Lepisosteus oculatus: one gene and its partner. The protein of the gene in region 1 purifies or fractionates together with the protein of each later gene. This does not show direct contact. Links are inferred from orthologs where the notes say so. Each region holds a gene or a part of one and is shown on either strand. Other genes may lie near its edges. The genes, in order: zinc transporter ZIP11 and membrane protein FAM174.

Region 1 (16,695 bases):
TTTTTCTTAACCTTCACTAATTATTAGTTAAGGCTATATATTGTATGCTCCTGGTTTGATTTTCCTCATATTGTAGGGCTGAGTTAGGCTTTAGAGTTGGAAATATATACAGAACACACATGCATGAACAAAAAACAACAACAAAACAATGTAATCCAACAACCCCAACACAGCCCAGAGGCTTATGTGCTGCAGGTATTATGTCATGCAGAAAGTATAGGGGAAACAAGAGGAAATTAAAAAAAAGAAAAGAAAAATTGAAGTAGGGGAAAGGTTAAGATGAATGAAATGCCCAAGCCGGGTTGAAAGAAACAGAGTACAAGAGCCTTCAGATGAAAAGGTGCAAGGAAGAGAATTGATGAGATAAGTACAGTATGAGCAAAGAATAAAAGGGATTTTGTTAATGTGTTGATGTCTCCAAGTATTCGCTTGTAAAAAAGAATTTTCTGTTTACAATTGTGCTGTCTTACACTTTCAGATGTTCTAAGTGCTAAGGAATATTTGCTTGATTACTTCAGTGGCCTTTTGGCTAAAATTGCAGTTCAGTAGTGCTTTACTGAGCAATCCATCCACTATCAGGGAACGCTATATCAAATTAATTTATGGAAGTGGGAGCTGAAATACGGGATTGCTACATTCCACTCACGCTTCCATCTGGAATCGCAGGACCTCCAAAATTGTTCCACCTCCCCAACTTGGACCTTCGCCTGCAGCAGCTACTGTAAAGTGGGATGTGATTGTCAAACAAGTGAAACTTACCGCAGCTTAATTCTGGAAACTTAAGTGCTGGGAAAGGAGGGTACTCCATATTCATTTGATTGTGAGATTTCAGCGCCTTATGTGTGATGCCTTAGTTGTCAAAATAAGCAATGTTTGAGAACAGTACAGTGTCTAATCAGTGCATCTATAATTGTGATGAAAGAATACTCCATCTTAATTTTATGTCCACTTACATAAATCAGCAACTGGTTCTATATCTGTTTGTTGAGTGATTTTAATCTAAACATGAAGGCTGTAAACAGTATTAGATATAATATTATCAATAATTCTAATTCATTACTTATTAAATATAAAATAAGCATTTATTTAGGATAAATCTCTAGGATAAATCGGGTGTTTAACTCAGCTGGGTCCCAGAGAGAGGTGGTTTATATATATATAGCCAATTCATTACATATTTAAGATTTAAGGTTATTGCAATTTCAGGAACTAAAACATATTTGAAGGCTCCAACACTGCAGTGGAAACACATTCATACAAGTCTAATTAACAGGTAAGTATCCATAAAGATGAAAAGTGTAGTTTTGTCAGATAAAGGTTACTTCCCACTAAGTCTAAGTACATTATGCATGCAGGATGCTGAAACCACCACTACATAAAGACTGCTAGCCTGCTGCATACAGTTCAGTGAATTCAATTTAAATAGACCAATATCAAGGACTAAAAGGTTTTATCCACTGCACTGCCAGTAATTTTATTCCTAACAGCTTTTTAAGTCTCATAAAGGCCTAAATGTACCAAATATTATAACTCAATACATCACATAAATCTTCACTTGAAAATTTCAGACTTTACACATAAATGTCACTGTGAACATTGAATTCCCTCAATGAAAAAATAATATTTCCTAAGTAAATGATCATTACACCTAATCCCTTTTTACAAAGTTTGACTCACTAGCTTATAGGATAAAACTATTAAAGTTTAATGTTCCCTCGGCTTTTAGGAATGTGTCAGAGGTTTATTAATTTGTATCAAACTGTCAGATGGACAATGCCCAAAAGATCGGTAACATAAGAGTCACTAAGAGAAGCAGATACTCAGCACTGGGTTTTCAAACCATTTGAATATGATTGTGCTTATTTGTGAATCTCTGTCCACATCACACTTTAAAATCACCATCCGTTTCTTTTAAAGGCTCATCCTTCCCGACGTTTAGTTATCCTACAAACTAATAAAGTCACTTTCTTGCATTTGAACCTTACACAATCAGATACCAAACTTTCTGGTTAATTTCAGTTGTCATGCCTCAAAGTCTCATGTCTCAAAGCCAATATGAATATGCTTCCTGCCGTATTAAACTTGACATTTTGACAATCCATGTAGTACACTTTTAACAATAAAAAATAAAATAACAGGTTTGTGACCATCTTAGTAGGTATCCTCAGTGGCCCACGCCCAAGACCTAAAGTCAGTATCAAATTTCACATAGAAGGTGTGAAAAATGGCAATACTACCAAGAGCTAGAAGACACTTTTCAACAGCATTTTAAACATTCACCTGCTGATATACTATATTAGGATCCAAACAAAGAAAGTGTGTGTCATGTGTTCCAAGAAGATAAAAAAAAAATACTGTGTGTGCAGTGATCTATCCTGTTTTTTTTTAGTAAAGTCACCCTGCTGTTGTGAATAAGTTAATGGCATGTGGAAGTAAGCCACATGTTGCTTCAATTTAAATGGATTGAGATCTGGGGATTGTTCTGACCACAGATGGTGGTGAAAGTCTCTCTAGTGCTATTCAAGTCCAGACACACTGGGTGAATATTAGTTAATTAGTTGGTTAAGGCCTTAGAATGCACATTCTTGATTAATTGTGATTAAAGGAATGTTTCAATTTATTAAGGTTTTGGTTTATATAAAGGCCCTCACAGTGTTAGTTAGCAGTGTGGCTTAAAATAACAAGATTAAACACGAACATACAGATATAGAAGGGAAACTGTAGGGCAATCACACACACACCCTAGCAAAAAGATGAGTTTTGAGTTTGGATTTGAAGAGAGTCAAAGATATTGTGCCTTGTAGAGTCTGATGAAGGGCATTGCATAACAAAGGAGCAGCAACAGAACGGGAACGGTCACCAAAAGTCTGAGATTTTAGTCCTAGATACAGTGAGCAAAGGACCAGACTCAACGGAACGGAGCCTGTGAGAGGGAGTGTAAGGAGTGAAGGAGTTCAGAGATGTATGATGGAGCCAGATTTTTTTAAACCTGAATGTGAACTCCCAGTATTTTGTCCAATAAACATACAGTACAAAGCCTTCTCAGATACCCATGACCATAAAAATAATTTTAGTTAGACCATCCAATGCCACTGGGTACCTCAGTCAAATGTATTAAACTTTTTAAGTGAAAAGGCCACATTCTCAAACGGCAAAGCACCAGCCATTACACAATAAGGGCAGGAGTACGAAACAGACTTTTAAAGGACTGGGATCTCCGGACTCATCACACATTCCTCACAATGCAAACTAGTGCAGCAAGTGTCTGACACACTGGCAAGAATAAAATTATGGATCTGGCCAAAAGAAAAACATTTTAAAGGTGCACCTATAGGGAGTACCACAGCATTCGATCCAAGATCAACAGTCCATACCAAATGCAGACATCAGATAGCATGTACACTGCCAACGCAAATGAAAATTGCACCAATAGCCTGTGAGCTTTTGAACCAAATGAACTCTCTGCATCTTGTTTTATACATTTACACAACAATACACAACAACAAAATACCGGTTCAGTCCCACTACAGGCTTCTTTATATACTGCATAAACAGGGAATCCTTTCCTTCCTAGTAAAAAAAGATGGATTTCAATTTCGAAGCTTGCGAAGGATCTCACCCAGAGAGGAGAATAAAATATTCAAGGACGCCGCTCTTACCCCCGCAGCAAACCCCAGGCTCCCATCCAGGATTCTTTTCTGGGGGGGCAAAAAAAGAAAAATTACATCAACCATCTGTTTCCTCAATGAAACCTCAAGTTTCAAAAGCTGTAACATATCTTTCAAGACTCCACAGTGAAACATCCTTCCTCTTTCACTTATAAAAAAGGCACCCAACGGTTGTTGTTTTTTTTTCCCCCCAATCAGCACCTGAACCAAAAATGTGATTCTTACACTTTTCAATAATTGACAGAATCCCCACTGTGCAACACATTCCCTGAAATCCCATTCAGAGTTTGCCAGAGAATTTGTCAATTTGGATTCCCGTCCAGAGCTATTAAATCTGGTTTGTAAAAAATGCATTTTATCAAAATACATATTCTCGGTATCAGTGGAATGGATGTGGCAGAATGTTTTTTTGGAACTTATGAAAAATACAATTAAAACAGAACACCACCCATTCTTAAAGTATTTTAGATTACGGCTTCCTTTTAACTATATGTAATATAGTTAATATTGGTGCACAACTCACAAAAAGATTTTCTAGTCCAGCTTTAAAACTAAAAAGGCTAAAGATGAAAAGGTAACTAAGGAATAATGATAAGTCATTTATGCAGCTCTCTGCATCCCAAAGTCCTTCACATATAGGAGGGGAATTAATTCATCCATCTCTGAAGTGCAGCATCCACCTGGGTGACACACAGCAGTCACTATGCCTCAGCAGCACTGCACCAGCTCAGGTGGAGACACACAGAACTGCTACATCAACTGATTTAGCAGATCAACTGATGCCAGCAGCCATATCACCCTGCAACTCACAACTGGCAACCCACTGAAGCTAAGCAGGTGTGAGCCTGGTCAGTACCTGGATGGGAGACCTCCTGGGGAAAACTAAGGTTGCTGCTGGAAGAGGTGTTAGTGGGACCAGCAGGGGGTGCTCACCCTGTGGTCCATGTGGGTCCTAATGCCCCAGTATAGTGACGGGGACACTATACTGTAAACAGGCACTGTCCTTCGGATGAGACGTAAAACCGAGGTCCTTGTGGTCATTAAAAATCCCGGGGCGTTTCTCGAAAAGAGTAGGGGTGTAACCCCGGCTTCCTGGCCAAATTCCCCATTGGCCCTTACCAATCATGGCCTCCTAATAATCCCCATCTATGAATTGGCTTCATTACTCTGCTCTCCTCCCCACTGATACCTGACGTGTGGTGATATTCTGGCGCACTATGGCTGCCGTCGCATCATCCAGGTGGGGCTGCACACTGGTGGTGGTGGAGGGGAGTCCCCATTACCTGTAAAGCGCTTTGAGTGGAGTGTCCAGAAAAGCGCTATATAAGTGTAAGCAATTATTATTATTATTTAAGGTGGAGATTTAGGGAGACAAGACTGTGCAAGCCTGAAGCTGAATTAAGCCAGGGGACCAGGGTAAGCACTCCCTCCTAATCCAGTTACCTATAGAACCACTACTGTACAGTAGTCCTATAAAGACGGATAAAGAACAACATATATATTTTAAGAAAATAGTTCAAAACATTAGTAATGCCAAATTCATAGAAGACAACAAAATATTCCAAATGTAAAAAAAAACAATGAAGTTTGTCTTACAATGCATAGAGTTACCATAGCAATGATTATAGGGTAAAGGAAAATACTTCATACTTCATACTATTCTAATATTAAAAAGATTAGCTTCTTTCTTTATAATTTGTAATCGAGTTTTTTTCATCCAAATTCTGTGTACAGCTGCTTAAGCCGCATGTTTACATACATTTCTGGTACTTCAAACTTGTTATACAGTAGGTGTTTGGTAAGCTTTGCAAGAAAATGGCACAGTTTAGTATTACTGGACTCTGTATACTGTAAACACACTTTGGCATAACTGCAAACCGGTCAAGGCAAATCAAGGCAGATGACAAAAAGGAGCACACACGCAAATCTTGAGTCCGTGAAGGCAAGCAAACAGCTGCTCTATAAGATCAAATAGGTACAACAGGTCTTCTACCTACAAAAACAAAGCCATGAAAGAAGCCTGGTATTTACTGCGTATACCCCAACATGGAAAGGGTAATGAAAGTAATTTACCATGAACTGTATTCATTTGCCCTTCATGGAGCTTAAAGCAAAGCACCAGTATCCAGTATTGTGCATGCTATTAAGCAGTCTGCACAACTCCTACATCAAAAACACTCAAGCAAGCTGGCCTGAAAGAAAGCAAATGGGAATAAACAGGCAGCTCGGAGTACTGGCAAGAATCTTTCCAACAAAACCAGCCTCTTCTTTTCACTGCAAGTGTGTGTAAAACTGCTTTAATCAAGCCCTCACATGAGGCTTTGCGTTGGCATGCAGTAATGCTTCAAAATAAGAAGCTGCCAATGTATTTCAGTTTCCCCAGAAGCTGGTCGCTCGATAAAGATGAATGTAATAAACGGCACCTGTCCTGTGGAGAAAATGAAGACCAGGGCAGCTCCTGCAGCTGTGAGCCCCCAAGTGAAGAGAGTTCCCAACAGGGCCTGGAACACTGGGCTGTAACCTGGGATCATACTTTCCACCTGGAGATACACACACAAACACAATCTTAGGAACAGGGTCACAACACTTAAAGAGTAGTTCAGATTGCCTGTAAACATTCTCTGTTGACGTCTCCAATTGTCGTCTCCATCTCCGTCTCCATTGTGTCACGCTTTCTAACTCATAACATGGGCAACCCTAGTGCTTCTGAAGCACTGACTTTCAATTATGAACATTAATTGGTGACAACTGTCATTTGTTCCAGGTACAAAATGATAGGCGATGACTCACAGAAGCTAAAGATTTCTGTCTCTCAGGAAAGAGAGTAGACTATGCCTGCTCTAATTATTTACACAAAACAGGCTATTTAAAGGGTCCTCAAAGGATTCCTTGAACTGGGCTCCCTCCTGTGTTGACCTACTTAAACCAATGAAATTGAAGAAATTTACATTCTCAAGCACATTTCTTGCTTGCAAATTCAGGGATAAGCCTCTGCTCACATAAGTACATGAAGAACAGAGAACTGGGGTTCTGAAATGTCTTTCTTGGCCTCATATTTGGATGACATGCTGTGAACTGAGGGGAGATAGAGGTGCAAACCTCTCCTTCTTTCACTAGACATGATTGAGGAGTTTTGTGGATAGAGCGTTTGTTTAGACAAGTGTTTTTAAAAATGCACTTTGCAAAACAAAATTTGCACAGGAAGATTCATCTGGAAACAAATCAAGCAACAAGTGTTAAGTGAGATTCTTTGAAGGAGGCTGCTAAGAACTATAAAATATTTCTAAAGACCAGTTATGAAGAGGTGTTGAAGACCACTGTGCAGAGCACCCAGTGCAGCCTACATGTTGTGGACTCTGCAACACTGACACCCCCTCTCCCTCCCCATGATGGTATCCAGTCCTGAGGACCTTTCATACAATACAGCTGAAGAGACAATAATGCACAATACGATCAAACAACCATGATGCATGCATCTAGTTCATATTATATTTGCAGGTTATGAATAAAATATTTGCCCTCGCACTCCACTGCACTTTGAAAAAATTACCTCACTGAAGGCGCAGTGATTTTGCCTGATGTTGTTCCCACAGAATGCTAATTGATTTAAGTTAAACAATTGGTTACTAATGACTCGCACACGCTCTGCCAATGAAAATTGCTTGTAAGCTTACGAAGGGTTGCAGCTCTAATTTATTGTGTCCTCGCATGTCATTCACTTCTGGATTAACTGAATGATGCAAAATTTCATCAAAGTGCAAATCCTCATCTAAGCAGAAATACTTTTAAATCAATACTGGTATATACAGTGTGACATCTTGAATCAACCCCTTTACATCATAATACATTTTATATTAGAATATTTGTGCACAGTGCAGCCAACTGTGTACAATTCATTACAAAACATCTGGCAGTCCTAACAGATTTCTTTAGAAATGAAATCTACATCTACTGTGAATCACTATACATTCTTGCATTATAAAAAATCATGTTCTTTAAATCTGGACGGTATTTGGCAGTTTGAATTTCTTCATTCTTTTCTCCTCTAATGATACAAACTCTGCCCTTCTAAGATCGGAATTCATGAAGTGAATGCTGCAGGTCATGTTTGGTTTCTGGCAGATTTCCTCTTGTTTCACAAGAACCTAATTTGTTAATAAAGAAAACTGTTTTTTTATAATTCTTTAAACGTTTATTAGTAAGACACAAAAAATGCAAAAGAACCCAATTTAGGGAAAGAAACCAGATATCATGTTGGACACAAACAACTTATCAGATAAAATAATCGAAGATATCAAACAGAAATATACAAGGTCTACTCTGGAAAAGAATACTTAATAAGCAGTATTAACATCCTTCACCTAAAATAAACATAGTGCTGAACAAGTCTGACTTCTAGTCAGGGCAGGGAAGGCTAAGATGTTGATCTAGTCACTAATGAACAAAAGGAACACAATGTCAACATGAAACAAAAGTGTTAAATGATGCAGCTTTCCTGCTGTACAAGTTCCCTTTGTCCTGTCTGAAAGCCCACAGATCCTGTTTCTCTGCTCTGCAACTGTGAAACAGACTTTAAGCCACATTTAGTACAATTAGTGTGCTCCTTACAGGTTATTCACTTAAAAATGCACAAGTGTGGTTTTATCTGGGACCCTGATTAATATTTAACAGCTTAACAAATACATATTTGATAGTGCCGCAAGCGTCCCGTTTTCCTCGTACTTTTAATTCTTTACAGATGATAGACCATAAGGAGCTGAATGAAATGTGAGGATACATGAAAACAGATCCAAACTTCTGCTCAAACCCGTATTCTGAAAACCAGTTCATTTTTCAAACAGGTGGTGTATTGTTTTGCATTCAGGTGATCTGTAATAACTTATCTCATTTTTAGAAAGCCCACAACACAGCTGAATGCTTATCGAATCATACACTTCGCCACTAATTGTTTAAGTTTAAAATACTTAAATGTGCAAGCAGGTTGTTACCTGGATTTAAACGCACTCCAGGGGGGCAATGTTAGACTGAAAATGCTTAGGAAAAACATACGCCATAAACAATGTGCAATGTGTCAACGCTTTAATGTGACCTTTAATACATTTAAACAGAAAAAAAACACAATAAGCACTTACTGTAATGAACCATTCACCAACTGAAAGTCCACTGCACTCACTTCCTGTTTCTCTGTACACGTGTCTCCGAAACCCTCCAAATACCGCCCATCTCGAACTGCTACTGGCTGCTAATGTAGCGCGACTCAGCAATAAGCTTTTCCTTTAATTCTACTGGTGGTAAGAGCCGCCATTCATTCCGAAATTTCCAGGACTTGGTGTCCAACTATTCTCTGATAAAATAATAACTGTATGTAGTGTAGTATGGTTCTTAACAGCGGCGAGACATTAACGGTTTGATCTATTTTCAAAATTCTGTATTTAATTTCATACTATGTGGAATGTAAAAAGTAAAACCACGCTTGTTTCTCTGCAAAACACAATTATAGGCGATAACTTTCCATATATGCGTCAATCTAAAAACCACCTTTTGCTTTTCCCTTTAATCAAGAATGGTATGTTGAGACCTCTAAATTAAAGACATGTTTAAGAGTTACCTGTGACATCAATTACAAAGGTGTGTTCTGATTTACGTCATCGTCCTAAGCACACACAATTACTGAAATGTAGACTTAACGCTTACGGTCCAAGAATGACTTCCAACTAGAAATTACCGAAAAGTAAACATTTCAAAACACTTACAAAAAATTGTTTACCTGAATAAAGCTGGGTGGTTATTTTCGACAATTAAACATTTTAGGACATGAGTTGGGTTTATTTTGTTGTTGTTGTTGTTGTTGTTGTTGTTCTCAGATGTTGTCTGCATGCATTTTTTAGGAAAGTGTTTTCCGGTAATCGTATCAAGATCCCTAAAGTTGACGATACCGAATCTGTGGAGTGCTCTTTGCTAATACAATACATTTAACGTATTTTTGCGGAATTTCCCAGAGTTAGTGAGCTTTCCTATAAGATGTTCTGAATTACTTTCTCCATTTGATTGTGCTAAATGTTACACTGTAGATATACGAAACTGAACTAAACTGGAAACGGTCTTAATTAAGAAATTCGTTTCCCAGGATTCAGAAGAAAAACGAATTCTCAAACCATTAGAATAAAATTCAGATTAAAACTAAAATTAACAGGATGTCGGGGGCGGTGGTATTGGTTGGTACAGCACGTCATACTGTAAGTAAGTTTTATTATGCTAAGGAAAGATTATTAATGGGTAATACTATCTTCTTAAAAGGAAAGCTGGAGCAGGAATATCAAGATGACAGATAAACTACTGGCGAATAGGAGAGCTTGCTTTAGTCATCTGCTCCAAGGACAAAATACATTAATTAATAAATGTCAAAACCCTAAACGGGTTTACATTGGCAAAGCTGTCGTTCATTTCCAGGGCTTGCTGTCCAACTGCTTTTAAGAAAGAATTGTGTAGTGTACTGTGATTCTTAACAGCAGGGAGAAGTTAATGTTTTGTCCGCCTCTGTTGGAGCACAGGTGATCCTTTTTATCAGCATTTATTTTAAACTGTTATTTCATACAGAGAGGAGACTAGAATATAAACTACATTTATCTTATACCAAATGGTTAATACAGGCTATTAGTTTCCATATTCAAAATTCAAAAACTATAGAGGAAGGTATGTATATATGTAAACACTCATCCATCCGTTTGTAGTAACTGCTCCTTTTAATTCAGGGTTGCAAGAGAGCCAAAGTCTATCCCAGCAAGCAATGAGCTGAAAGCGGAATACATTCTGGCCGGTGCACCAGTCCATCACAGGACAGACACACACAAACACTCTTACAGCAAGGCTAAATTTCCCAGAAGCCAACTCATCTACTAGTACAGGTATGTCTTTGGACTGTGGGAGGAAACCAGAGCGTGCGAGCATGACTAGAACATAAAGATTCCACACAGACAGATAGTATGCCTGGGCTCAAGGGCTGCAAGGCAGCAATGCAAACCAATGTGCCAACATGCTGTCCAGAAAATTTCATTTAATTGCTTAGTCCCAAAGTTAAAAAAGTAAACTGATTCTATTATATTGTTCAGTCGTCCCATTAACAAATAAGCAGTCACATTTATTTTGTACAGACTAGTTTCACCTTGACTGGGGCTCTTCGGTGCAGTTTTTAGTCATGTTTTGTCTCTGCTGCAGTTGGTGTTTTGTCCTAATTTTATATATTAGTGTCCTTGTTTTCCAAAGGCATACAGTGTATCTGTGAAACTGAAGCGTCACTGTGTACTGTGAGCACAGCATGTTAAGAAGATCTAAAAAGGCATAGCTGTGATAAGGAGTGGATAATTTAGGATTTCAGAATGTGTGAAGAAAGGAAATAAAGAAAAGAACTATGTTTTTGAGTATAAAAAATAATAATTTTCTTTCTCTCGGACAGAGATTTAATGAGGGCATCGAGCCTGGAGGGCAGCCAGTGAAGGCAGAAATGCATCGCTCCCTTAACAAAGTAGGCAGTCAGACCTCCTTAGAAGTTCAAACAGTAAATGTGACCATCCGAAAAGAGGTTAAGCTCTGTGATCACGGATTTGATCACAGGTTGTAACCATGTGAGAGAAGGACCAGGACCTAGTAGGACCTAGAGACTCTCTGGGTTTACAAGGACAAAAAGTTTTATTTTCAAGAAAATGTCATAATCCACTGTGTAAATTCACACTGTTGGCATTTGAAAGGACTTGATCCAATAAGTAATGGAGTTAAAAGGTGTTACTACCATGTCTCAAGCCCTGTGATAAAAGTGGAAAGAATTAGAACGTTATCTAAATTTGGAAGGTCCTTGTAGATTGTATTGGTAGATAAAAACAGCCACATTTAGTTGTGAATGACAGAACATGGCTGGATCAATGTTTGATTGAGGAAGAAGAGAACCTAGCTGTACTCCCCATTGATTGAGAACGTATCATGACTTGCTTCACACAGGCCAACATGTCTTTTTTCTTGTAACTGCATCACTTACTAGGTATTGACAAGGTGTTCTTTATTCTGACATCCCCTGCCATGCCTCTGAGTCATCCAGACTCATGGTCGCTTGGTTAATGCATTTTTCACTAACAACATCTGTTAAGCCACCTCATGAAGACCCATGACTTTGCCTAAAAGACATCAGGCTGATTTCACAAAGATACTCCCTGTAATGTTTTATCAGTATCATGTTCTCGAAACCTTTAGCATACTAATTAAATAATGTATTATTTGTCAAGGACATAGAGAACATATGACTCATGGGTGTACTAACCAATTGGGTTGATTTGTGCATAATGTATCTTTGGTATTGTATAATACAAAACGGATGATATCTAACATTGGTTTCCAAGATACATGTGGCAAGGTAGCAGGCTGTACAAGACATTTGCACTGTAACAAGAGCCACTTCTGAGAAATTAGCTTTTGTCTTCACTATCCTTCAACCATGATACACAGCAATAGAGACAGCTTTCATCAATGGAGGAACTGACCGGTTCATCCCCTGCAGACAATAAGTGGACCACTAGAGCCATCTATCAGCAGATCTTGTTGGAATGCCTGCCTGACATGCAGTATGGGTGAAGCAGTAAATTGGACACTTTGTGTCACTGAAACGTCAATGTTGTCCTGATTGTACAGGCTCCCTTCAATTTCAACCCATCTTTTACTCTCCAGCAGATATTCCCAATCCTCTCCAAAGCCGGGTTTGGCAAGCAGCAGTTTAACACAAATTAAGGCTGGAACTAAGATACACCTTGAATTCATTCAGCCTGGAATATACAACACAGAATTATGTCATTCCTATAATATTTTGATCAAATACACTTGTTCATAGCTGTTGCTGATAAGATCTTGTGAATTGTAAATTCAGCTCTTCTGTTTGTAATAATGTATGTAGCTTTTTTCACAGCTTTTCAGAAAATTTACCAAAAATGCATGGTCCATAATAATTAAATTATTTTTGTAATAAATCAGAATATAGACTGCAATAGGTTTACTTGACATAAAATGCAAAAGTGATTTTCTCATTTTGCACTTGGTTTCATGTGAATCTGTATGGATTTCTGTGCTGACATCTACAGCCCTGTCTATTGATCATGAGGTTTCAAGCCTGAATAAACACAAAAACTGCCATCAACCAGCTAGTATGATTAAGTTACTGTTTTAGAAACCTGGTGCTTTCACCACACTGAAACAAGAAATATTTCAAGCCACAAATCTTGTAATGTACAGAGCTGTGAGACGACTTTACCTCATTAAGCCTCACTAGTTTCCACATTATGTATTCTAGAACCATGGTTTCTGAAGCTAATGTGTTTATGGTGCTCAGTTTGTACAACCATTAAGCCCTGCTTAAACTCTGTAAAGAATTATCTTTTAATAATTGCTAACTTCTATATTAACATAAGCCAGTAACCAACAGTCACTAGGGAAGAATACTGACTTGTATAGCATTTTCAAAATTAATTTATCCATAAGGATATACGTATGGAATATTATTAACCTGCCACTAACACTGATAAGACTCTTTGAAGTGTATCTCTTCTGTTGCACAGAACAGCTGGAGAAAGACTTTGTATAATCACACAACTGTGATTTGTTCATTAGTAAATCTCTTGAGTCTGCAAGAAGGCAACCAGTCTGTACCTTTCAGAGGTATAATGTGAATCATGCTTCTTCTTCAATTTACACCTACAGTAGATCTGGATACAACACCTTTTAAAAGGAAAGTTATTTTAAAACATCAGTAGAACATGATAATGCTGTGTTGTCTGTAAATGTATGTTAAGCTCCTTAGGACTGGCAAATCAATGGCTGGAAAAGTCTGGAATTTTAAAATGTCATATTCAGAATTTATTTCTACTCACTACAGTGGAATGCCGAATGAGTTAAAAATAAGAGTCCAGTGTTGCTAAAAAAGTAAAAGCATTCACTCCAGTGGAGTTCTGTGAGCTCAGGGTTAGCTGGTTTCTTTCGGACACTGTGGAAGTTGTGGCATGTGAAACAAGTTGAATGGATGGGTGGGAACAGCTTGGCGGCTCCTTCACAATCTCCTTATTCTGTTACTATAATCACAGTTACAACCTTTATTTCATCTAGCACCTTTCACGGTACATCATCTCCATAAAAACCCTTATTTTGGTTAGGAGGATTGAAAACTGGATTTTAATGTTCCTCTTCTTTGAAAAACACAAACATGGGCTCACAAGATGTCTGTCTCAAAGGGGTGTGTGCTTCATGCTGACCATAAAACCTGGTCTTTTGCATTACATTACAGCTGCAATATAGTGAAAGTCTAATAGTGGGACATTTGCTGTTTGCCATGACCAACAGCTCATTCAGCCTACCTCCTTGTAACACCTCTTACAACACCACCAGCAAGGGAAGGTCATTGCTTTAGAAGAAAATCTAGAAATCCTGAATTTTAAAAATAATTCACAGGGGAAAAGGGTGGTAACTTCAAGAAATCCATCAGCAATATGTATGCCCAGTAAAAGTAGTGTCAGGACTACAGCTGCAAAAAGCCTTAAAGAGGGCTGGATGGTTTAGTGTTGAGGTGTCAGAGTAATCATTTCCTGCCAAAGCAGGGCTGGCACTCTGGGACACTAAAACAGTTCATGCCTTGCAGGATACTTTATTTATACAAGACCCCTGACAGATCTAGAATAACAAACATAAGGGTGTCTTTTGAAAGCCAGAGCTGCATGCAAGACCACACAAAGCACATCGTGGAATTTACAGGGAGTCATAAAAGTGTGTTCCACAGGGAAGAATGACTATTTCTGTAGGAATGTTGGACTATTTAAAAGTCCTATAAATTTTTCCGTATTTTTTATATAGGGACTTTAATTGGTCATCTTTTTAGTTCAGACAGTTTAATTTTATGATAACAAAGGTATGTTGTAATGTTTACAGTGTACCAGTGTGTTTCGTCTGTATACTTACGTCAATGATGCCCGACCGAGGCAATAGGGGCTGAGGGCTTCTTTGTATTGGTCTGTTTTTGCTTTAGAAATTCACAGAACTGAGCAGTTATGCCATTATTTACAGATTACTTTTGAATAAATTCAAAGCCAGAGGTAAAGGACCATCCTTTGAAGAGCTATGTTTGTCAAAGGACGGCAATAGAGTACTCTGCAGCTGCTCCTCTGCTGCACAGCTTTGCTTTTTACTCACAGCAGGACTATGCGTAGAAAAAAAAGCTGGAAAACCACTTCGACGAGAATGTTTGATTACAGAAACAAAAGTTTTGGAATAGCCAGAACCATCTGCACTTTTGAAGCAGCGTGAGCTGGGAGCTGTGGAATCATTGCAGCCAGTAGCACTGACAAGGGACTGAGAAGAAGACTGGATGTTTTGAATTTCTGTCAAATTAAAATGATAAGTGAAAGATCAATTATATCAGGACTGTAAAAGACTCCTTTTTGGGGGGATTTTTGACCTTACATTTTCTGGAGAATAAAGACCTCTCAGATTACAAGGAAAAATCCTGTTGGAGAAACAAAGTTGTTCATCAATGGAGTACTTTTCTCTTTTTTAAACCTATTTCTATTAATGTAAACATTGCATTTTTGCTGGTATATGTGCACTTGACTTGGAAGCAGCTATAGTGTTTTGGATAGGAGAGTGACCTAACAGGTTGTTATGAAGTGCTTTTTATATTTTTTGTTTGAACATTGTGATTCCAAACCATGGAATACCAGTGACATAAGGTACTATAAGAAGCACAGGACCACTCCTGCTTCTGTTTTCATTTTGTGACACACATTTTCACCACATTTATTTTAAAAATAAAAAGCCTGGATTAAAATCAAAATGGAATCCTTGTACACATCAGTGACTGATCAGAATAGCCCGTTTCATTTCGACTCTTCGAGCGATCCCCTCCACGGTGACAGCGGCCCTCAGACCTGCCTGTTTGACGCACTGATGGCTGTCCTCTACCTGGGCGTTTGCGTCGTGGGACTTGCTGGGAACTCCCTGGTGATCATTACCATATTGAAATTGGACAAGATGGAATCAGCCACCACAGTTTACATCTTCAATCTGGCTTTGGCAGATGGCTTGTTTATGGTGGGGATGCCCTTTATAGCACTGCAGAATTTCCATCAACGCTGGGTGTTTGGCGACTTGGCATGCAAGCTAGTTATGATTCTCGATGGGATCAACCAGTTTACCAGTGTATTCTGCTTGACCTTCATGAGTATTGACCGCTACATGGCAGTGGTCAATCCCATCAGGTTCTCCAAATGGTGTACCCCAAGGAGAGCCAAGATGATCAGTGTCTTTCTGTGGTTTTTCTCCCTGTTGCCTGTTCTACCCATGGCGGTCCATTTCACAGTGATAGGCAGTACGTGTTCTTTAAATCCCCCGGGGTCGTTTGACATGTGGTGGTTAACCTTCATTATCTACACATTTACTCTTGGCTTTGCTTTACCTTTTATTGTCATGACAGCATGTTATGCTTCAATGCTGGTCAATTTAAAGTCTGGCATCAGTAGATTTCAGAATAGGGAGACCCAGCGCCTAGAAAAAAAACTAACCAAGATGGTTGTTGCTGTGGTGTTGGTCTTTGCTATATGCTGGTTGCCTTTCTATGTTTTCAATTTCTATTTCCTCCGGCATCCAGAAGATTTAACACCAGCCTTTGCAAAGGGTTTTGAATTTGTTGTGCTTCTGTCTTACTCCTGGAGCTGTGCTAACCCCATACTGTATGCCTGTCTCTCTGAAAAATTCAGGAAACACTTTCACACACTTCTGTGTCCCAAGAAAAGATCCCAAAGTCTCCATTTTGACACCAATGCCGATGGCTATGACTTGCATGACTTGAGTGGAATGGAGATGATCAGTATGGTGTAGATAATTGCTCCTGCAACATTGAGCTCTTTTGAGAATGCACAGACACCAGCTTTGGTTTGGATTATATTTCCTATAATCTTTTTAGTATTCCCCTTTGACTCACTTCCAAAGTTTGGCCTTTTTGTACGTC
Region 2 (16,291 bases), on another chromosome or scaffold:
AAAGTCAGAAAACTAAACAGAGCTCTGTCCAAGACTTCCTCTGCACAAGACAAATGGTACAAAAACTGATATGGCTAGACTTCAAGAAGCCTGATTATCACAGGTTGTTTCAATAATAGCAGTACACCATGCAGCAGATGGAATTCCACGTCACTTGCAGACTGGAACAGAATCAGACCTTGTGCACTGTAGGAAAACCAAGCTCCGTGTGATTCCAGCCACAGAGCTTTCCTCTTTTCCCTTTTCAACAGAGCTCAGCCCCGTCTCTCCTTAGGATTTTCAAACTGCAAATAGAACAGTTGGCCTGTGTATTCCGATGAGTAATACAATGCACTGTAGCTCTCATTCCATTGTCACATTTTTAAATGAACATTTCACCAGCTCTCCAAACCAGGTTTCTCCTGCAAAACTAAACTGAAAACCTACAATATAAAATGGCAGATTGAAGAGGACAACTGATGAATTTTAAACAATTACAAAATTGTCACAGGATGTCCTCTTTGTCTTAACATTTATTCATTACATATAATTTAAAAATCTCATTTTATGCATATACGCTGAGTACAGAAAGAAGTTTATAATTGCAAATTTACATTTATCAAGGAATAGAATATTTGTAATATAAAAGATACACTGACATTTTATTAATCATGCTTGATATAGGCATAGTGTATATGCTGATTAATATTAATAATCAGAACATCCAAAGGAAACAGTGAAAGTCACATACTAGTAGTGTTTACCCTTGAAAGCAATGCAAGCTGTACATCTGTAGTACATGCTTTGTGCACTGCTAAAGAGGACTTGGCTTCACTGCTGTTTAGTCTACCTGAGATGTTGTTCTTACATACCTAATGTACAAAGGCACCGTTTTTTTCACCAGGCTCAAAAGCTCAAGTTAAATCACCTTTGCCTGTTCAGCTCAATCACTAATGAAGTGTTTTAGTCCAGGTCAATTTCATTTAAATCAGTCATGCAAAATCAAATTTAAATTGACTTTATAATACATTACCCAAAATCTGCAGGCTTTACTTTATTTTTTCTAGAATATACAGTATATGCATAACATAGAGCAAAGCACACATATAGATTTATATCTAAATGTAAAATCAGTGAAAGTTAATAAAGACTGGAAACACATCTGTACAGTATGACAATTAATGTTTTTAAAAATGGAAATATGCTTTACTAAAATAAAATGAATTATCATATCATGGAACTGACAGTTGCCCATAGACTCTGGCAATTTGTAGAACTGAAAAGAACAATGAAGTTTCAAGCACCAGAAGAGTTTGGTTATCATCACCAGTTCTTTGTCACTCAGAAACTTGATCATACTGTATTTGTGCTTTATTTCTTTATTCCACCTTTTTAAACCGGATCAATGTTTGAAGTTCAAACAGCAGCTCAGTTGTAATGTTCCCTTGCCACTGCAAAAAAATGCCCTATTTTTTCAATCAACACACAATTTGTGATCTTATCTGATCAATTTGATCTATTTGCTGCAACGTCAAAGGTTATTTAGCCAGCATTTTTTGTAGGTTTAAGTTTTAAATATAATAGCATACAATATACAGGTAGTACTGATATAAATTAAAAACGTTCAACTTCACTGTCACATTTCAGTTTTACTAATCAACCAATGACATGCATTGTTAACAGGTGACTGTTAACAGCAGCAATAAACTGAAAACCAATGAAGCTTGATAGACTGACCTTATTCAAAGTCGAAATATTCTGTGACTGGGAAATAACAGATTTACAGATAGAAACCTCTTTTTGAGAAGTGTGAATTAATAGTCTGCAAGAACCTTACTGTTTGACCATTACGTAGTATGCCTGCCTACATTTAAGGTTCCCTGACTTTACATGGCCAGAACTTGAATCTGTGAAAATATTCTGACCTTCAGGTCTGAAAAACACATTTGATTTTTCCTGGGTTTCCACAAATTTCATGACCCATACAATTGTGACAAAGGCTAGGATGCATCCTGTTCATCCTGAGCTACTGACAATTACATTGCAGGTGTTATATAGGGTGTATTTCTTGTAATGAGGTCACAGCTTGTTCAATTTTTATCAAATTGTATTTTTACAATACAATACATTTGACATTCTGAAACTCATGTTGCCCGCACCTTGGTTTTAAAGGCTAACAATTGGACAGTGTAAAGACATCTCAGACTAAAACATTTACTACATAAAAAAAGGGAACAAGAACAAGGTTCTACTATTAGTTAAAAGGCACTAAAAAGATGTAATCCCATATGGATAAAGTACAGTAGATGTAACAATTAAGAATAATCTGGTCACCTGTTGCACAAATAAAACCTCAAAAAAGGAAGAAAGGGGAGCCCTGGTCATGAAGATATACGAATGTATTTAAGAGTCACAGGTGGTGAGTAGTGTCATTTAAATTTAAAAAAAAAATTATGTTTAAGTTATATAAGTTATATTACATATGATCCTACATTGCTGAAATCAGTAACATTGCTAAGTTTGGGTATTTCTGTATAACATTGTATGCATATTTAGGGCCTCATTTTCATAACAGCGCAAAGCAAAATGCATTCATTTAAATCATTTTAGTTAGGGTTCCTACAAAGCCAGAGCCTATCCAACCAGGGACACCAGACAAACAGGGAACATCACTCTCCCCTGGAAGGGAGGCTCAGTAGCTTATATTTCGATGAATCAATATGTATACTGTATATGAATCAATCATATATCAAAAATCAAAAATCAAATTAAGATATATGAATCAAATTTTGATTGACATTATTAGAGGTTTGATACTCCCCTTGGTGCCATTTGGTTTTATAATAATTCTTACATTTTTAAATAATGTCCCTGTAGAAATTAAAGCAGTTTAACAAAAAATGATCAAAATAATATCATGTGTGTATTGTATGAAAGATCACTTCAGTGTGTAGTCTGGCCAGGGACAGATACAGCTATAGAACTGGCCAGTATACTATACTGTATATTCCTACCTATCACATACACTTGGCTACTGCCATTGGACTGGGTCAGTCCCTTTTAGTACTTACAGGATTTAGGGTAGGAAAATCATACTCTTGCTACTTGCTAGGACATACCTACAGCCAGACTTCCCTTTCTGTAAACATCAACTAAATAAACAGAAATCAATTTCCACAGACACACACTGTCACAGTCTTAGAAGCGCATTGTGAGAGTTTTTATGAAAACAAACAAAAAAAACCCACTTATAGGCACTGCATTCAATGTGTGACTGACAAGAGCCTCTTTCATAACTGGAAGATGAAGTATTTACACCAGAGGTGTCCAGTTCTTGTCTTGGGGGGGCCAAAGTGTCTGCAGATTTTCAAGGTCACTCGAAAGTTGCAGGATCTGAATAGCTTGGAGATGCTGTTAAATGAGTTCAGTTAAGCCAGAAACCATCTGGTTTAGCTCATTAAAAGCTGATTTGAAATAAAAATCATGGAAACGCCAGCCCTCCAGGAGCAGGTTTGGACAGCCCTGATTTACATACCAAGTATCATTTTACAGCTCTAGAACAAAAGAAAGCACAGTTGTTTCTCTTAATGTACAGTGCTTAGCAAGTGTGCTCTGAAATATAACCATAGGGGCATATCATATTTAGTAAAATCATAATGAGTCACAGTAGACTCTTTACTCAAAGCATTATTCTAACTTGGTAGGAATCATAGCCAATACTCCAGACTTCGCTCTTCTTAATATGTTATAAATCAGCCATTACTTATAAAAAGGTACACAATTATACTGAGTTAGCAGCATCACAAAAATCAGTCTTGAGTTACAAGAAGCACTAAACAGCTTAACAAAAAAAACTTCCATGAATACAGGATGCTTTATTAAAAGTTATATTTCTTTTTTTAGAAATACATTTTTCAAAATTATGAGACTATATCATACAAAGGCTGTTAGAAAGGTATTTCAATGACCTTACAAGGTGTAATCAGTAAGACACAGACCGATCCTAATCATGCTTACCTCCTTGAAATACGAGCATCAAACAATGTGGTATCATCGTCTTCATCCTCGTCCTGCTCCAATGGTGTCATTTCCATGGCAAGATTTGTGTCCAAGACTCCATACCTCCTTGTTTTACGGTTCTTTTTCATTCTGAATTAAGAAGAAAAGATCTTCAGTACAAAATACACGCAAACTTCAAACACATGGTGGTTTTGATGTTAACTATGATAACCTCATGGCTTCATTTTTACAATATGTTCACAGTGCTCCACACTTACATGCCACATCCTAGCAGTGGAACACGCTTACAGAACGTATTGCTTGACAGAATTCCAAAATGTGCTACTAATCCTTTAAAAAAAAGTCTTCTGACTGCAAGGCAAGAGAGCAAAATTATCTTAACCTGCCACAGTAGCAGTATTTGAAGAGCACATACTGTATAAGACCTCAGCCGAGAAATCTACTTTAGCATGTTCATAAAAGTAACCAGTAGCAAATTTCAATATGAATTTCAAGTACAATACGGAGGTATCAAAACCCTGTTAAAGTGTACATCTGTAGAAATTATAGTACTAACATTTTTCATTCTTCTAACACTAATACATTTTTCTGACAAAATAAAAAAGGCTTAGGGATAAAACAAAAAGAAAAGAATAACAGAAAAAATAAAGCCTCAAGTTCTAGTCATTAATATCAAAATAGGTTTAATTTTTCCTTTGGGCAAACTGTGGGCAAAGTGCCCACTCCAGAGTACATTAATCAGTTGGGACAGTTTTCACGTAATGAAAATTAAATTTAAAGACTTTCCTATTTGCTTCCTAAGTAGAGGTGTCTGTGTTTTGGGAGTTCATTTTTTATTGTGCAAACTGATGTCCTACAATCAATTGAATGAATTGTAATATTGTGCCATGAATTGGTTTGTGTAAAACCAATGGAGAATTACAATTTCTTACCATTTTACCATTGAAATGGATTTTAAATAACCTAAAAAGATTTTACCAATCCGATATTTTTTTAGATGCAAAAATACATGAAGCAGAAAAAAATGAAAACTTAATCAGTGTATGTGAAATAATAAGTGAACCCTAGTTTACTGAGCACAAGTAAATAGCATTGGTATGAATAAATAAAAGAAGCGAGTTTGGGCACTCCTGTCTTAAAATGTCTAAAAATAATCAGAAACTTTGAGAGTGTGGTTTACACCATACAGGATAAAGGAAACGCATCACGACACAATCAAAAATAAATTTCAGAGGACTTCAGGAAAAGAGCGGTTAATGCTCATCAATCTGGAGAGAATTCATTAAAACATTTCTAAACTTCTGGGGCTCCATTAATCCATTCGGGAAATGGAAAATATCTGAAACCACAGTGACTCTATCCCAGGACCTGGCAGGTTGTCCTGCCAACAACAATCCTGTAAATCATCGAGGAATTCACAAAGAACCCCAGAGAAACATCTAAGGATCTGTAAGTGTCTGTCTGCCTAAACCATCAGAAATAAAACTGGAAGGATATGGATGTCATGGGGAAAAAAGCATTGCTCTCTACAATAACATGTCAGCCATGTCAAGTTTGCTGAAGTGCACCTGGTTGATCCACAATACTGCTATAAGAATGTTGTCTGGACCGTCATATCAAAAATTGAATTTTTTTACTACAATTAGAAATGTTTTGTGTTGTGAAAACCAAATGCTTCCTTGCAACACAATTGATGTCCCTCATCTTTGATGAAACCATTAATTCAGCACTGTATTGGCAAATTCTGGGGGAGAATGCCCGGCCATCCATTCATCACCTGAAGCTGATCTGAAAAGAGGTCATACAACAAGACAACAATCCTAAACATACAAGCAGGTCTCCAACAGAATGGCTAAAGAAGAAATTTTGCATTCGAATTGGCCATTTAAACGTTGTACCATGACCTGAAGCGAGCTGTTCACGCAAGGAAACCCTGAAATATCAGGGACTTGAAGCAGTAAGAGACTGATAAACATTTACAGAAAATGTCTAACTGAAGTCATCGCTGCTCAGGAGGTGCTGCCAGAAACTGAATCTAATTTATTGACATGAATCTAATCTTAATTAACCTAATGTATTCCCACAATGGGTTATTTTAATTAAATAATACAAATATATCTTTGCATTCCATGTTTAACGAAGTTTGCTTTATAATTTATTGAGACTTCCAAGAGGACATGAGGATTTAATTACTTTGCAGTTGTAAAATATACAAAAATATGGACCAACCTAGAGAGTTCATAAAGCTTTTCTTGGCACTGTATATCATTTTCACTTTTTGGAAAGTCATCTTAGAACTTCTTTTGTCTTCCCTATTTAGTGAATTAAAAAGCAGTAAAAATGTATTAAAAGTGACCATGTGGAAAAATAAATATGTGATTTCAACTTGATTTAAATGGCATTGTAGTTTAGTCTACCACTTTGAAACCACACTTGACTTAATCATACATAATGTTACAGACAATAGAAGATGCACCTAATTTTGCATACAGTACAGTATGTACAGTATATACAAGATATCTTTTATTTGTACTTGTACTGTAGCATTACTTTAACTGGATACTAAAAGATGGCCAGAACTTATAATGTGAAATTCCTTAGCACATAGGGGTAGTCAATACATTTCAAAATGTATGGGAGATGTATTGTTACATGTTGATTAATACAGCATTATAAAGGGTATTGAATGTATTTGCATTTCTGTGTTTCACAAGTCTGTCTTGCAGTTGAACGCTGTTTTATGAATACTGTTACTGTGGTTAGGACACAGTCCTAAATACAACAGAGGAATAATACATAGCTTAAAGCAGATAAATATAAATAAAAATGCTTATTTTTGTGGGCAAGCAGATCAATTTCAATTTATTTCAGATAAATGAATCAACACTGATTAGTCTTTTTCTCGCCTGAAACCTTTCCATTAATTCAATCCAGATCAAGGCAATAGTTTCTAAGAGGACAGGAGTCACACAACACAGGTTACAGATATTTTTTCCTCTTTAGGCAGTTCTTTAAAGTTCAAACTGCAGTTTTGTTTGTAAGTTTAGTATAATAAGGTATAAATCGGCACCAGCCTCATTACTGAAAAATATATGTTTCAGATCGTTCGGTTTTAAATTTTACTCTCAAAGCCCCTAATTTAATGAAGAAGAAGAAAAAAACCGTGTCCACAAAATGCCCGTAACTGGTTCAACCAACCCATGTTCAGATGAGTGTTCTGAACCAGTACCAAACAAAAATAATTAAATCCAAAATGTTACGATGTTGCAAAAGACAACAGCGATATAAAACTGCGAAGGATTTGTGAAAACAAAACAAAAGCAAAAACCTCATCGCAACTCTGTCGCCGCTTTTAAAGAGGATGTCGCATTACAAAAGCATCTAAGAAAACAGAAAAGTAGCTTAGGCAATCGGAAAACTATGATGCAGTCCTTACTTGACAGTCCTGATGACGAAATAAACGATGACAAGAGCGCTGACAGCCACAAGCACATACAGTGCCCTCTGAATGGACATCGGTCTGCTGTCATTCGCGGCCAGCTCCGCTGCCACAGTCCGGCTGGTGCTCTGGAAGTCGCCCGTACTGTTGTTTTTGCCTTCCCTGACTCCAACGGAGCCTGTGTGCGTATTCATTTTGGTATTACCGCTGCTGGCATTGCCGGTGTTTTGGCTGATGCCCACCTGGATCTTTGTAGACGGAGCTTTGTACGGGCCAACTGTGGCAACAGGAGGCAAAAGTACAGGCAGTAAGATGCATACAAACAAACTAGCCCTAAAGACCCGTGTCTTTTCAGGACCCATGTCCTAAAATAATTTTCTTTTTTTTTTTCTGTCAGCACTGACGTATTGTTATAACACACAGAGCAGAATCAACTCCCTCTTATTTCCCTCATATTGTTTATGCGTTGACTTCCTACCGTCGCTACGCAGTGTGACATCATCTTCCCTGCGTGCCTGCGGGAGCTGCTATTGATGGGCTTCAGAAACTGAGGAGAAGACACCCGGATGTACCTGTAAAACGTGTTTGGTCACAGAAGCATTGCAATGAGTCTTTTTAAATTAAGCAGCAACGTCTGTTTAGTAATGCAATTAGGTAGAGCTCTCACAAAGTCACAAGACCCAAGCATACTGTACAAACGAAAGAAAAATATCCTGCAAATGTTTTTTTTTTGGTCTTTGACCTAAAATGATTAGTCTTTGACAATGACAATTGAAGTACTGTAAACATTCTTTATTATTAAAATATCTTTAAATAGATATTCTAAAAGTACTGCACATAATTTAGTCTACAATGCTTCAACAACAAGAAATGTTAAAGATGTGAGATGTGTACTGCATGTGGCATCTGTATGTGCCACCTTATTTTCCAGTAGTAGGCAGTTAGCGTGATTAATAGTAAAACAGCCAAAGAAAGAACACAAAATCAAGTTTAAAAAACAGAATGCAATACGTGAATATATGTGTAAAGTTAAGAAAAGTTTTATCTGCCTACCCGTCATCAGAATCTCCTGGTGAAGGTCAGGAAAAACAGGAGCCTGCTATTATCTAAATGTGTAATTTTCCCAATCAATCAAGGAATTAAACAACGAATAACAATAATCTAGAGGCAGATGGAAATATGCCAGAATATAAAAAACAACATCACAGTGCCTCATGAAATGAGTTTCTAATGTATTACATTGACCCAGAGCAATTTAGCGAAATAATGCTTCTCTTTCTAATTAAATGATACTGAAAAAAAATCAATACAACTGTTGAGGCTAAGACTTCTTGTCCATCTGTTTAACTATGTTTTTCTTTCTTCTTTCTCATTGTTTGCTTCACTGATTCTGGTTGTCTCACATAGTTCTGCCTGGAAAGGTCTGCTAAAGGTCCCCACGTCTGGTGCCTTTTTGAAGGCAGTTAAAATGGATACCTGAAAAAAATTGTTTATAGGATAAGCATTTGTAGTTATACACAAAGATTCACTTCTTTACTTTTTTTAGGAAGCAAAAAAAAAACAATGCATCTTTTGTATTAAATAAAGTCTTGTGCTCTCATCTGTATACTATCAAAACCTCACTTGTCCACTATCTAAAGTTTAAAACCTAGGATCCAACATATAAAACAGAGCATCTTGTCTGTCTGTTCCTTTATGCTGTGGTGGGAAACCTATGTGGCCTGTTGCTTAATTTCATCCAGGCCGCAGGAGCCGGGTTGGTCAAATATTGTATAGCCTCCTCTGACATCCAGGGGAAAGTCAAGAGCTATGTACAGTATGACCACAAAATTGTCCTGCCACACATTTTGCACAACGGCATTTTGAATTTTGTGAAAGGAAAAGAACTGTCATTTATGGTTGTATTTGATGCCACCACGATACAGAGAAAAGTCAAAAGACTAAATATTCAGGTTCAGGTACAACTATGTTGTGTATGTGTGTATGTACTGTATGAGGTGCAACTGTAATTGAGCGGACAACAATAAGGCTGCTTTCTGTCCCTGTATTTCCATATTGCATAAGCATATTTTTATTTTGCCACGGGGTGAAATTAGTACTCTTTATCATACTAAGGGATTTCTATCCATCCGTTTTCTAAGCCGCGTTATCTAGTACAGGGTCACGTCACGATGGAAGCCAGAGCCACGCAATGAGTGCGAGGCGGGATAGACCCTGAATGAGATACAAATCCATCATAGGGTACAAACGCAGGAAACAAACACGCACATACTGTACTCACATCAGGGTTAATTTTCCCAGAAGCCAGTTAACCTACCAGTATCTCTTTGGACTGTGGGAAGAAACTGGAGCACCTGGAGGAAACACATGAACAATAGAAGAACAAACAAACTCCACACAGACAGCACCAGTGATACCACTAGGGGCACTGTATTGAATGGGAGGTACTTTGGGTAGAGTGTCATAGATTTCACTGAGACTTTTGACCACATTGAGATGCCAGAACAGACATGTTGTGACAAAGAATGCCACAAGGGTATCAGAAGGGGAACAAGCTATTTATACAGGTGTGCACACATTACAGGACTATGATGATGACAGGGATGACAGCGAGAGAGTGGTTCATTATGCACCACTGTACACAATTTACATTTGATGGATTTCAGTGAGTATGCAATTTGGAAAATGACATAAAGAGAGTGTGTTGGAAGAAAGGACTTTGTATTATCTAAACTATAGTGAAGCACAGGAAACACAATAAAAAGAAGGGCAAAGGAAAATGTAAAGAGTTAAGTAAGAGACTTATCACTCCATGGGAGAAACTGAAAGAGAAAGGAGAAGCAGGAAGATAAAACAGGCTTAACAAGCTCCTGTAGTTTATTTTTCTAATTTAGGGAAGGAGACGTAAACATATACAAATAAGAGAAAGACTTGGTACTCTGAGGTTGTTTACATTTTTATATTGTCAAGAAGGCAAGTCTGGAATTGCTTCGAGGAAGAAAAATAACAAGGCATTACTTTTCTAACTTTGAGAAAAACAAATGTGTTTTTGATACAAGTAAATTATTTGTTTTCTACTATGTTAACAGGATATTTTGAGATATTTTTTAGTGTAGTCCAGCTTTCCTGATCTAGGGGTTATTTTTTTATCCTCACCAAAAGTAAGTGAATCGTTTATTTTTCAATGAATTATTTTCTTTATAAAACAAAGTACTATTTTTTAACTATATTGTCAGGGCTCTAACACTGCAAGGCAGCATTGCAAACCATCATGCCTCCCTACTAAGGGATTTGATTATGTTAATTTTGCCCTGTCCGACACATGACATCACGCTGTCCAATTAGTGTGGCCAATTACCCTAATCAGAATGCTTCTGGCATGTGGCAGGAAACCAATGCAGACATGAGGACAACAGGCAGACCTTACACAGATAGAGCCGCTTAGCCAGAAAGTGATCTCTTGTTCCCACGGCTGTGAGACAGCAGTGCTACAGAAAATGCAGTATCCCCAATCCCCCTGTTAGGCAAATATAACCCTCTGTAAAACTGAACGGATGAACCTGACATATTTACCTCATGGCAAATTTATGTGTTCAAGTTTTCAACTGGGAGGTACAGTGGCTCTGTGTATAGTACTGCTGCCTGCTGGTTTTATTATAGATCAGCATCACAGTGATATTTATAATTATGAATTAACCTGGTTAAGAAATATAGTCATACATTTAACTGTGGTGGTTGGATCTAAAACAATGATCCTGCGAACCTAACTAGTAGCAGCCAAGTCTTACTAGCCAAGTCTCGTGCATCTGAACACTATATCCCAGTTTATGTGGAAAACAGTTTTTTTCATTAAAAATTCAGGCAATAAAGTAATAACAATTGCTACAGTAGCACTATAGTAGTACAGTAGGTTTCTATGCAACCAAGGCGTCTTGCCTTTTGGAACAGCGTTAATTTGCCTAAAATATCCTAAAGATATAAACTGTCAGTACTGAGTTCTGTAGAATATTTAATTGGATTGGTTTCTGCTGGATTTTTTATTCTTGAAAATATTTGTTGGATTTTTTATTCTTGAAAATGAAGTTTACTTCATATACAGTAAACAGGATGGGGCACAAATAATATTGATATCTGATACTATTAACATTACCAATTGGATTAATATAAATTAAAAGTACATATAATATTTCTCTATTCCAATTTTAATGGAATGGTTTTATCTGTTTATACAAACTGCACATTCCAGCAAGTGAGAGACTTTAGAGGACACCATGCATTTGACATCATATCAGATATACTGTAAATATACTGTGGGATTATCACCTGTTGAAGTTACTATCAACCTAACACACATGTGGCAGTAGTACAAGGGCATCCTGCATTTAAAATGCTTTCTATGGTTATAATTCTGGTTCACCATCAAGCAAATGCCTTTAAATAAATATTGCAGATCTATTACATACTTAAATATTATGAATTTACTGAAGACATGAAGACATGGCTCACCATTTTCACAAAAGTAGAACACGTTTGTTTAGATGGAGATGAAGCCTAAAGAGATTCTATTTGCCAACAAAGAAGACGCTTTAGTTATGTTTTTTGGATACTTATGTGCGAGGCAAAATACATTTTAGTTGGCTTCCTCAAACTATTATCACATTATCACAAAGAAAGATTTTTTGTGATATAATCATTGTACAGTATGTTTTTGCCTGTGAAATTACATATTGTAACGCAACGGGAGTTCAGGCGGGCACCCTTGCCGCATTAGCAAACCCTGGACTCCCGCGTCACTCAACAGGGAACCAGCCCAGTGAGCCAAAGAGAGATCTCTCTACAGCCCAGGGGCTGTGGTCCTGCTGTTACTGGGAAGGGCGGTGACGTCACCTGCTCTGGTAAGCCGGCTCTTACACAGTACCTGTCGGCCGTAAGCGTTACAATATATTTACAAATTACAATTCCATATTTAGAAAATTCTACATGTGTTTTATAATATTCTTAACTTGTCACATCTGTACAACCCATGAGAATGAAACTGATAAGGACTCTGCAGTACTTAGACTTTAATGAGATGCATGAATATACCGTTACATGTTGTCATTCACAAAAGTGTACTAAGGGAGGATAGGCTTTAAACATGATATACCTGTTGCTTTGTGAGAGTGGGGTGCTAGGAACACATACTGTAGATGTATTTCTTTATGTCAACCATAAGACAGACTTTAGCATACCATAGGTTAGTGAGGGATAAATCAACTGGGGCACAAATTATGTTGCTATGGTGAATGATTAGAGCCTGCATTGATCTGATCTTTTCAAATAACCAAAATAGAGTAAAAAAGGTAAAAGTAAGAGAAGCATTGGAATAAACACAACATGATCATTTTCAAAGTATGTTTCAACGTTCAACAAAGGCAATTTAAGGAAAGGTTTATGATACTAGAGAAACAGAGGGATTTGAGAATATACTGTATAGGGAATCAGAAAGGTATACACAGCTAAAGGTTTAAAATTCAGTTGTAGAGCCATCGATAAAATTAATATAATTAATCACATCACTCTACTGGGGCATTAGGGACCAACATAGACCACAGCACCCCCTGCTGGCCTCACTAACATCTCTTCCAGCAGCAACCTTAGTTTTTCCCAGGAGGTCTCCCCTCCAGGTGCTGACCAGGCTCACACCTGCTTAAGTTCAGTAGGTAGCCCATTGTGAGTTGTAGGGTGATATGACAAATCATGGCCCAGAACTGTTGGTGTAAATGGTTCAATAGATTACGAAAGAAAAATATACTGTAAAACAAGAAAAATGTTTTATAGGGACCAAGATGCAGAAAAGTGGACTACTACACAAGATTACAGATTTTGAGGCAAAACTAAGTCCAAGAGCTTTTTACATTATTACAACAGCAAAAGACTGAAAAGGAAAGAAGTGGTGTCATAGAGATACAAATGGTTTTAATATAAAAGACAAGCATAGAAAACGTAAAGGATTTCAATGATTCATTTACTCAGGTGTTCAAAAAGGAGTAAATTAATAAAGTGCTGCAGGTTGAAGAAAGGTTCAAACAAACAAATAAAACCAGATGGTTTTTATTGACCTGAAGGAATAACACACCTTATTTACAGTATAGCCCTCTTGGTAAGATAAATCAATTGACTTCTATTGCAGTTAATTGTGTGTCCTGATTAGAAAATTGTAATTATTTTATCCAGTCATAAAAAAGTAGAGAAAACAGAATCAGTGAATTATGGACAAGTCACCCTTGCTTACATCTAAAGATATGAAAAAAAATATAAGAAGCAAATTGGAAGAAGACGTCAAAAGGCTTCTCTTGGCTTTCCCACCCTGGTGGGATAATGTAACTCAACACGAGTGAATCCTGTAGAGGTTTGAGACACTTTGAAACACAGATATGGCAACTGAAAGTCTCTGCCGATAATAAAATATCCACACATGTTCTTGGCGTCTGATTGAAATGCTCCCCCAGCCCATCAGCCATAATGGATGTTATGGCATGGTGAAAAGTACATATGGTAAATACCCAAAATATGCTAAACATGTTTCAGCGAACTAAATGTAACTTGTACATGTGGTCTGTGATCATTTCTATTTGTATGTTTGCCCTTGAGATAAATAAACCAAGAGCATGCATTAGGCTTTGACACTGTGCAAAGTAAAGGCTTCTGGAAATCTGGTTACACAGTCACTGAAAACAATAATAAAGTGTTTGCCTCCGCTGCTTCACTCTACAGGTTCTGCTACTGTACTGTATATCCATAGTAACTCACTGGAACTGAATGTCTATGACAGATAGTGTTGTAATGGAGACCTGCCAGAAAGTCATATTTCAGTTGTCAATTGACAGTTTTGCAGTGATCAGTCACATCCAGGGACTGTATAACACTATCTTTGGTAAGGTTTTTGCACATCCCATATCCCTGACTGGTGCGGTACACCCTAGTCATAGTATCATCTCTTTAGCACCCACTGTACAATAAATAGTTTTCTACTTTATCTACTATACTGTTTAGGTCTTTACAGACACTGGCTTACAGCTCCTTGCTGCTCTGCCAAAAAGAACTTATAAAGAGGGATCTGTCCTTTTTAGTTCTGCAAAATTTCCTGCAGCCTGCAAATCTGGCTTGATAATAATAGTCTTTTATTTAAACAGCCAAGTCACTTGAGAACAATTTTTCATTTACAATGGGAACCAGACTGAGTCTTACAACATTGTTGCACAAAAGGCAAAGCAGAGTAGAAAGAAAAGAACAATCAATAAAAAGTAAACACCATAACAGGATCTAAGCACAGAATACCCTTAGACATGACAGAAGATATTTTATGTTTAATTCTGCAGATTGTTCCAGTCATTGGCAGGAGCAAATTGAAATGAATTAAAGTACCCAGATTTGGTAGTTGCACCTGGGAGGTTTCATGAAAGTGCTACATCCGAAATTATAGGATAATAATATATTCAAATATATAAACTGTGATTTACTTATCTTTCTTTTACTTGCAGCAAAAACTGTAATTGTTTTTACCATTTGTTTTTAAATTTTACAATATATTGTGATGCCACATGGGGAAGCTCCCACATGGGGCAAAAGTTCTACAAAGACGCACCCCACACACCAGTCCTTAAGTCAAACTGTTCTTTATTGCTAGAACAGTGTGCAATCTGGCTTGTATTTGACACAGCAACAGGAGTAGTCAATGTCCTGTCCTGGCTTAGCCAGCATCATAGGCACATGTCTTCAGTCTGATGCCTGTAGGTAGCCAAGAGACTGTAGTCTTAAGCCATGTGGATCTGTCGCTGAGCCAGCAGCCTGCATAGTCATTTCAGTCCAGAGGCTTATGAGGCAGCTGATACAAAAATAGAGCCTTCAGCTTGGTAGATCTATTTTTGTATCAACAGCTTGTACTATGATAGAGAGGCTAGAGCAGTGGCATCACAGCTGGTCTTCGTCCTGCAGGCTTGGGAATCAGCCATGTGGCTGAGATCTGCAGCTAAGTAGCTGTATTTGAAAAAATAAACAGCCTGCATTGTGTTAGGGTAGCTGATGTGGTAGCAGCACAGTTTATCTTCAGCATGGAGGCTGGGATTGTAGCTGGAATTTTCAGCCTGGAGGCTGGTCCAGTGTGGTATCAGCCTGTACAGGTGTACAGGGTATAGTTTCCCAATGTCTGAACAATATTATTCATACAGAATCAGTACAGAGAAAATTGTGGGGCTATGTTAATAAACACTGTGAGTCTGAAACCATTCAAAGAAGTTCACTTCAATACCAGGTCTAGCTTTTGGGCTTTCTTGACTTTTCCCGCCTCTCCTCCCAATCTCCAAACAGTTTTCCAAATAGTTTTGGAATCAGCAAAAAATGGATTTCAAAGTCTTAAAAAACATTTTTCTTGAAATACAAAACAAGATTCATCCCACATGGACATCAAAGTCAGGAAAGCACTGGCTCAAATGGTTAAATAAATAAATTAAGAAAAATATAAGGGAAAAAAGCAGTATACTTTATACAGTAAACGACAGCATTTAATGAAGAATGGGATCCGGTTAAATGTAAGGAGTATAATTAATTGCAACTACAGGCTAAGAGGGGCATTAGAGACCAAGAAGAAGAAAATAGAAAAAAGCTAGGACATCTACATCAAATAATAATTTTTAGTATTATAACAGTAAAGGAACAGTAAAAAAATTAAATAAAGCATCTCAGAGAAAAAATAAGAAACTTTCAGATTACGTGTATAGGTGTTTTTCAAAGAGGGAACACAGAACTTACCAGTCTAACTAAACACAAGGTCCTATATTAAATAATATTAGCATAGAAGTGGCAGACAAATTA

Evidence for each region.
Region 2: the proteins of zinc transporter ZIP11 (region 1) and membrane protein FAM174 purify together in Homo sapiens (co-immunoprecipitation; 3 studies listed by BioGRID and IntAct, counting the BioPlex papers as one, with this or other methods). This does not show direct contact. The link is inferred for Lepisosteus oculatus from reciprocal best matches to the Homo sapiens genes SLC39A11 and FAM174A.

Annotation. Positions count from the first base shown.
Region 1 is NC_090704.1:40,024,897-40,041,591, reverse strand, and holds the start of zinc transporter ZIP11, read right to left. Parts: upstream 8,881-16,695; 5' UTR 8,801-8,880; intron 6,209-8,800; 5' UTR 6,200-6,208; coding exon 6,092-6,199; intron 3,699-6,091; coding exon 3,660-3,698; intron 1-3,659. Other genes in the region: somatostatin receptor type 2-like, read left to right, coding at 15,522-16,565. UniProt on the Homo sapiens protein: Zinc importer that regulates cytosolic zinc concentrations either via zinc influx from the extracellular compartment or efflux from intracellular organelles such as Golgi apparatus. May transport copper ions as well.
Region 2 is NC_090698.1:55,260,569-55,276,859, reverse strand, and holds the start of membrane protein FAM174, read right to left. Parts: upstream 8,129-16,291; 5' UTR 7,801-8,128; coding exon 7,436-7,800; intron 4,129-7,435; coding exon 3,997-4,128; intron 3,534-3,996; coding exon 3,521-3,533; 3' UTR 1-3,520.